Linked DNA regions of Ovis aries. Each later gene encodes a partner of the first gene's protein in a complex. Links are inferred from orthologs where the notes say so. Each region holds a gene or a part of one and is shown on either strand. Other genes may lie near its edges. The genes, in order: MEAF6 and ING5.

Region 1 (3,804 bases):
TGTTGTCATAAAGTGTTCAAAGGCAGGGATCTGTCACTGCTGAGAACTGCTTCTATTTTCTCCTTTCTGCTCTTTTGGGGACTACCTCTTTGTTTCAGCTCTAATATCCTTGTGCTACTCAATTTGAAATCTCTTCCTAGAAGTTTATATTACAAAGACATAACAGGAAGAAAGTTAATCCTTGGTTCTGCTGTTCACCTAACTCCTTTTGAAAATTTTTAGAAACAGGTAATGTACACATATTTGGGATTCTTCATCAGTTCAGTAAAGTGATAGTCTTCTCCTCCCCCATCCTTTTATATTAAGAGTTTCAGAGAATTCCTTTCAGGAAGAAAAAGTGTACCTTTACCAAACTATGTGTAGTTTTTCTTAAAAACATCTATTTATACAAATTCTTGTTAAATTTACTTATTTAATGTATCTGAGGGATATTTTAAAATCTGGAATATGTGTCAACTGAAAGGTATTATTACCACTTTTAAAATAATATTCTTAAGGCTTCTCAGAGTAACTTAGGTGGTGGAGCTCTTCTCTTCCTTGGCCCTTTTTCTTGATGGAAAGTCAAGATTCCTGTGTAGTTTGGCAAGGAACCAGAGCCAGCTGTAGGATCTTTTCCCAAGGTCATCTCTCACCTCCTGAAGACTTATATAATGTTTTTGATAATGCTTCTTGTGTAACTGTTAATCCCATTAGTGTATTCTGTGTTTCAATAGCCCCTGCAGTAGCAAGGCTGTCTTGTGTGGTCCAGTCTCTCGGCTGTCCTTAGACCTGTCGCCTCTGGTTACACTGTTTCAGATTACAAGGTTTTCAGCACTCTGGTAACTTTGATGCTTTGACTAGATGTGTCTTCCTGTCAGCTGGAATATGTGGTCCTTGAGGGTAGTACCGTGTGTTTCAGTGCTTGAAAATTCTTTTCCAGACTGATGGACAGACTGCCTGAGGAGTACTGATGATGCTTTGGGGCCTTGTGTTTCCTCACTCCAGGGGAGCCAGGAAGTGGGACGGAAAGTGACACTTCTCCAGACTTCCACAATCAGGAAAACGAGCCCAACCAGGAGGACCCCGAGGATCTGGATGGATCTGTGCAGGGAGTGAAACCTCAGAAGGCTGCTTCTTCTACCTCCACAGGGAGTCATCACAGCAGCCATAAAAAGCGAAAGAATAAAAACCGGCACAGGTCAGTGGCAGGGACCACACTTCCCCAAGCCCTGCACGTCTGCCCTGTCCCCAGCCACTTAGAGCTTCCACTGACCATGGCCGTGAAGGGTCTGTACTGGAATAAACGTTCTTCAGGATTGGTGTGGTCTTTCTGTTGCTGATGGGAAGAAACTCATTTGGTCTGAATGAAGCAGGCTAGTTTTTCTCTAAGGAAGGAGTTGCTGGGCATTAGAGTAACTGTGGGGGCAGACATCCTGCTTACTGCTTCCAGTGTGAAAAGTGAAAGTCACTCAGTCGTGTCCAACTCTTTGCAACCCCATGGACTGTAGCCTGCCAGGCTGCTCTGTCCATGGAATGCTCCAGGCGAGAATACTGGAGTGGGATGCCATTTCCTCCTCCAGGGGATCTTCCTGACCCAGGGCTTGAACCTGTGTCTCTTATGTCTCCTGCATTGGTAGACAGGTTCTTTACCACTAGCGCCACCTGGGAAACCTGTTGGGAAGCTGCAGAATGGGCTAAGCCTTTTGCCTCCTAGTCCTGATCCCTGCCTACCCTTATTCCCTGGAGAATGGAGAGAATGAGCTGATGTGCCTTTTTACTTTTTGAATACAAGGTTTGTGATTGCTTATGATTTCTCTATATATCTTCACAAATTGCTGATTTGAGTGTCAGAGGAACAATATAAAGGCTGTAATTTACAAGAGCACCTTCCTAGATAATGTTTGTTCACTGTGTTTTTTTGTAGTGCCTAATGAGCTAGGAAACACACAGTGGACAGAGAGGTTAGGTGTTACCCAGACAGGATTTCAGCGTTCACTCTGCTTAGGGTTTGTATGATAGTGCCGGGGCCTCTTAGCTTAGGTAATTTAAAGCCGTCCAGTTGCACTCAGAGAGGGAAATTCTTAGTTTTTCCAGGAAGGAATCTTGTCCTGGCCTCAAACCTTCTGGGAGGTATGAAAACCAGACATCCAACAGGCTGGCTTTTGTCCTGCTCCTCTTAGGAGCCTGCATGCTGAGGAGATGGAAGGGGGTGTGCAAGGAATGGGTGGGGTCCCCTGTCTTTCAGTTTGCCTCTGGGCTGTGCTCTCCTGTAGAACATGCCCTCTTGCACCCAGGGCATTACAGTTGTTAGCTTGATGGATGTGGCAAGCAGGGATAATATAGAATTAACTGGTAACAGGTTTAAGCCTCCTTGGCATCAACTGATTCTTTAATTCTTTTAAGAGTTTTTCTTGTCATTGGTGGTGGTGGTTTTTAGATGCAGGAGCAGTATATACTCCAGAGAGTGACTGAGGACTGCAACTTAATATTTTTCTGCAAACCAAAAATCACCAGGCCAGTCTTATAAGCATAGTAAGAGAGAGCAAAAATTGCATCTCTTTGTCTCCCCTTTTTTTTGCTTAAGTAAGGCTACAGGTTATTTGATTACTATGATAAGACTGATGCCAGTTTATCATGAATAGCAGAGAACCATACTCTTTAAAGTATTTTTTTTAATTGTCAAGATAAAAAGGTTATGCTCTGTGTTGCTTTTTTAAAGTTTACTCCAGGGTAATTTTAAATATAATAATTTATTTTCCTATTCCAGAGTATCTAGAGGGGGGGATAAATTCCTTGAAAGTTTCTGGGACATTTTTTTTTTTCCATTCCTGGTATGACAGACTCTCTGTAGCTGTTGTGTATTTCAGGTTATACCTTATTTTCCTTAATGATACAAACAGCTGATGAAAAGGAATTAGACATTGAACTTAACTTTCTCCTTACAGATTGCTAGTAGATTTCCATAGGAACAGCTTTTCCTGCCTTTCTTCTCCTGGCCTTAGAAGCTAACTCCTTCCAGAAAAATACTAGGATTTAAAAAGATCTTTGGTGGTAGTTATTGCCTTCACAGGGGGGCTTTTTGTTTGGAAAGCAGAATCCTTTTGTCATCCCCCTGGTTTAGTATCTGGCTGGATTTCTCTGTGGGCCTTAGGGACGACTCATCTGCCCCAAGGGAAGAGAATGGAATTGATTTCCCTTCTTTCTGGAGAAAACACGTTTAGCACACTTTCTCAGATTCCTGCCATCTTTAGTGTGGAATTGTGTCTGGCCCAAACCCCTCATCCCTGACCAGTGTCTTAGTTGGTCCTGCAGACTGGGGGGGTGGGGGTAGGGGGAACACTTTGTCTACACATGTTTGTGATTTTGCTCCAGTACAGTATTGTTTCTCCTCCAGTGTTTCACACTCCATATCATCAGATAAAAGTCAATGGTAAATTATTTCAATAAAGGTATGAATACCCACCATGTGCAAGGCATTGTTTAGTGATGAGTAAACTAAGTGGAAATAAATAGGTACCTTAGCAAAAGAAATAACTTTTATTTGATCTTTTCAAGAAAATGAAAATCTATCAAATAATCTTTAGCATTCATAAATTGATCACAGGATTCTAAATTCTTATGCTTTACATGATATCAGAACAGTAAATCCCAGTGTGTTTAAAGAAGAAAGTTGAAATTACAACCTATAGCTGCTCTGACAGGTTTTTACTACTATACCAAGCTCTAGAATTCTAGGTAGTTTATGAAGTTTTCATTAAGTAGGTACAGTCTACTTCTTTAGTTTCTGATCAAAGTTAGACTGAAAGTTAAATTTCTGACAGTTCC
Region 2 (4,539 bases), about 12 Mb from region 1:
CTTGGTATTTATCCAAAGGAAGTGAAGTGTGTGCGCCCAGAAACCTGACGTGTATGATTATAGGAGCTTTATCCCTAATTGACAGGACGTGGGCGCAAGCAATTGGTGAAGAGTAATCTGCGGTACAGACAATGAAATGTTTATCAGTGTTAAGAAGAGATGAGCAGGACTTCCCTTTTGGTCCAATGGTTGACAATCTGCCTTGCAATACAAGGGATCTGGGTTCAACCCCTGGTCAGGGAACTAAGATCCCACCTGCTGTGGAACAACAAAGTCTGCTTCCTGCAACTACCGAGCCCAAGAGACACAACCAGAGTCTGTGCCGCCCAAGGACAGACCCCACGTGATGCAGTGAAGACTCTGAGGGCTGCGATGCTTGACGCAGTCAGATGAATTAAAAAAAACGCTGTCCGGCCAGGAAAAGGAATGGAGGAGACTTGGAATGCACCTACTAGGTGGAAGAAGCTAATCTGAAGGGGCTCACATTCTTTGACTTCAACCACATGGCATTCTGAGGAAGGCAGAACTGGAGGCAGGGGCGGGGTTAGCGTTCGCCAGGGGCTCCCCCGGAGGGAGAGGGCAGAAGCAGCTGATTCTTAGGGCAGAGCAACTATTACGCTTGATACTGCAATGGGTGCCGCTTGACATAAATGCACAGCACAGAATGAACCCTAATGTGAACGTGACTTCCTTTTGTCGTTTAGTCGCTAAGTTGCGTCCGACTCCTTTGTGACCCTACGTAGTGGAACCCGCCAGCCTCCTCTGGTCCATGGGTCATCCCATGGCAAGAATACTGGAGTGAGTTGCCGTTTCCTTCTGCAGGGGATCTTCTCGGCCCAGGGATCGAAGCGGGTCTTCTGCGTTGGCAGGTGGGTTCTTTACCAGAGCTAGCAGGGAAACCTTAATAATAATGTATCAATACTGTTTCATCTATTGTAATAAATGTGCACCAGCCATGGAAAATGTTCATAAGGAAAACTGTGTATGCGTGGAAGGGGTATATAAGAACTCTTGTATTTTTTTTGTCAATTTTTCTGAGAGCCAAAAACTGCTCTAAAAATAAATTCTATTAATAAGAACACTTATCTACTCGAAACAATAAAACAGGGGTGGTGTGCAACAGTGCACTGGAGTGTGCGTGATTCTCACACCAAGCATTAAATGGAGCGGGGGTGGTTGCACAGACATTGGTATCACTTGGATCGAAGGGTGAGCAAGACGATCGCAGGCCCGCGCCTCCGGGAGTGGGGGAGCTGTACATCTCCGTACAGCCTGAGTTTGTATAACGCAGGTAAAGCTGGCAAAACAGTGAACGCGTTCCCCCTTTTACATGTCTGCCTGGGGTTTAGCACGCCGGCCCCCGCCCCGGAAGTCGCCCCCCCCCAGGCGCTAGGCGCGCTCCCGGGCCCCCCGGCCGAGCACCAGGCCCCCCGGCCGAGCACCAGGCCCGCCCGCCCGCCAGGGCCGCCCAGCCCGCCCAGCCCCCGCGCGAGGTCGCGCGCGGCCCGGCCGGAAGCCGAGGCGGGGGCCCCGCCCGGCCGGCGCCCAATCAGCGCGCGCGGCTCATTAATAGTGACTAGCCGGCCCCGCCCCCGGCCCTCGCGGCGCCGCCGCCCGCGCAGACCCGGAGCGCGGCCGCGGACGAAGATGGCGACCGCCATGTACTTGGAGCACTACCTGGACAGTAAGCGCCCCGCGCGCCGCCCCAGCCCGCCGCCCGCGCCCCGCCGCCCCTGCCGCGCTTCCCCGAGCGCCGGGCTCCGCGCGCGGGCCCCGGGGCACGCGGGGGCGGCGGGGTGGCCGGGCGGCGGCGGGGGCGGCGGGGGCGCGCGGGGCGGGCGGGGCGGCGAGGGAGGGGCGCGGGGCGGGCGGCGCGGGCCCCGCCGGCACGGCCGCGCCAATTCCAGGTGCGTCACGGCGGGGCGGGGCCGGCGCCAAGGGGCGGGGCCCGCGCGGCCGGCGCCGCCTTCCAGGCGACCACGCCCACCTTCCTGCAGGCCCCGCCCTCCCCGCCCTTGAACACGGCCTCCTGGGCGGGGCCCCGCCCCTTATCGGCTGGGCTCCGCTCTCTTCCCTGTCGGACCCGCCCCCTCTGGTCAGGCCCCGCCCCTCCGAGCCCCGCCCCGCCTTGGGGGCGGGACTGGCCCACCAAGATGGTTGAGTCCCAATCGCCTGGGACTCTGGGTCGGGTTTGGGGGGCCCAGGGCCTCGGAGTTCGGTGTTCTGTGCCTGCTTGTGATGTGACTTAGCTTGTGCCTCAGTTCCAGGCCTCATTTCATGCATTTGCGAGGCATGCAGGCGCAGAGGGTCACTGAGGGTACCGGTCCGAGCCCAGGGGCTGGGGGCGCTACTTACTGGCCGGGGTTAGGGTGTTCAAGGCAGGGGTCATCGTCGTGGCCAGATGTCCCGACGCATTGCACATGTTGCCCTCTCTGCAGAACTCCTGAGCGGGTGGCTTTTTTCCTCCACATTTCACAGAGCAGGTGATGCCGCCTGCAGAAGCCAGGTAGCTTGTTAAGGTCTCTTGCTGGAGAGCGGCGATCCCGCGTGGGAGTCCTTCGTCCTGACTCCTGTCTGGCCTCCGCTGGGGCATGGCCTGGGGAGGGTGGGGCTGGTGGGTGTTGGGCCCCGTGGCTCTAGAGCACTGTGCTGTACTGGGGATCACAGCCCCCAGACCCTCACCTGAGGGTGTTGAGAGTAGGGATTGAACCTCTGCTCTGGGGAAGACTGTGGTGATCCGCAGGGGATCACCTAGTCCTGGCCCAGCCTGAGCACAGGTCCTGGGTGGGAGAGCACCCAGGTGCCTGTAGGGGGGGCACTGTGGCTTGTCCTCTTTCCTGGTGCTTGCCTGGTGGGGCCCAGGAGGAGAGTCCGAGGAATATGATCCTGGCCTTTGCGGGCACCCGTGTGAAGGCTTGGGGACAGAAGCCCCTGCTCACTCCCTAAGCACCTGCTGTGCACCAGGAATTTTCCTGGGACATGCTCTCAGATGGGACACAGGAGTTTAAAGGTCATGAAGGAGTCTAGCATGTCTCAGAGTGCAGGGGTACTGCTGCAGTAGGAACCCCGGGGGGGCGGGGTCCCACAGAGAGGCTCTGAGGGGTCCGCTCGGTGTCTGCTGAGCCAGGGCGCCATGGGGCTTAAGCACCAGCTTTGTTTGATGAGAGGGGCCCATCCTGGCTGCAGGCAGGGGCCGGGCTTGGCCCAGACCAGGAGCCTGGCAGTGGGGACAGGAGACCAGTGTGGTGCAGGGTCCTCCCTGTGCTGTCCTTCCTGGTCTGTTTAATTTTAAATAAACTCTCATAAAATGGGAAACTCAGTCCGTCTGTGGTACTGGCCCCATTTCAGGTGCTCAAGTAGCCCAGAACACGTGGCCAGTGCCTCTGTGTTGGGCAGCTCCATCTTTGCATCACGTTCCCCCACACAGCCCCGGTTGGTACTTCCCCATGCCCCAAGTTCAGAGTAGAGTTGGAGGAGGACCCTGGGGTTTGGGCTGGTTCGCTGTGACGGGGTGTCTGCAAGGGAGGAGTGGCCTGGGGTCTGGGGTGGGAGAGGCGCATGGGCACCCTCTGTCCTCTGTTTGAATCTAACTTCTTGAGTTTCTGACAAGTGCTCAAACACGTCAGCTTGTACCAGGGTGTGTTCAGTGTTTAGAGCACGTCGCTGGGAAAAGATACCCTGATTCTTCTTGTTTCCAAACCCTAGCAAACAGAAGCTAGAGTGGGCTTACCCCTTGTGGCCTTGAGCTGTGAGGCTGGAAAGGTGAGCTTTTGTCCTGCTGTGTCTGTTTCAGGTATCGAGAACCTTCCCTGTGAGCTTCAGAGGAACTTCCAGCTGATGCGAGAGCTGGACCAGAGGACAGAAGGTGGGTGCAGGCCTTTCAGTGCAGCCAGGGTGGGGAGAGCAGCTCCCCAAGGCAGGACCCTGGGGGTGGTGCTGCGCTTCCAGGTACCTGGGGCAGAGGTGCTGCGGGCATGGGGTGACGTCTCAGAGTGCCAAGTCTGTGCAATCAAACTGAGTGCCTGGTGCTCCTGCGTTTCGTCTTTATGACCCTCATCCCCTCCTTGCAGTTAAAGTATTTGTTAGCTTCTCTTTAAAAGATTTTCCCTTTTCACACTCTGTGTGTAGTTTACACCCTGCTTTTGGGTCTTTTGGTGTTAACTCCTTATTTCTGAGCACCTCGTTTTTGCTGCATTTCTTTATTTCCTTTTGGTTTTAGACTTTAGCTGTTCAGTTATTTCAGAAAGTGAAGACTGACGTCTTTGGTTGCGCCCAGCCAGCTCATGTGCACACAGCTCCTTCCCGCCATCTCCTGGGTGTTGTGGGCCAGAGTTCACACTGTCCTGATGTCGTGTCCGTCAGGGCCCCTGTGTCGGTAGCTGGCCGCCTGCTGTGCGCATGTGGCCTGCTTGGCCTGACTTCCTCTCGGCGTCTCTCACTGCTCTGCTGGTTGGTTTGTCTTCCATGCTCCCTGGTGCGCGGCGCCAGGCACCTGCCAGCCCTCTGTGTGCCCTCCGCGGGGGCCGCCGGAGCGCGCCA

What was found.
Region 2: MEAF6 (region 1) and ING5 share a complex: the UniProt entries of both Homo sapiens proteins name them as parts of the HBO1 complex. The link is inferred for Ovis aries from reciprocal best matches to the Homo sapiens genes MEAF6 and ING5.

The regions. Positions count from the first base shown.
Region 1 is NC_056054.1:12,323,999-12,327,802, reverse strand, and holds part of MEAF6 (chromatin modification-related protein MEAF6), read left to right. Parts: intron 1-984; coding exon 985-1,319; 3' UTR 1,320-3,804.
Region 2 is NC_056054.1:252,115-256,653, reverse strand, and holds the start of ING5 (inhibitor of growth protein 5), read left to right. Parts: upstream 1-1,618; 5' UTR 1,619-1,647; coding exon 1,648-1,684; intron 1,685-1,937; exon of another isoform or gene 1,938-2,506; intron 2,507-3,793; coding exon 3,794-3,865; intron 3,866-4,539. UniProt on the Homo sapiens protein: Component of the HBO1 complex, which specifically mediates acetylation of histone H3 at 'Lys-14' (H3K14ac) and, to a lower extent, acetylation of histone H4. Component of the MOZ/MORF complex which has a histone H3 acetyltransferase activity.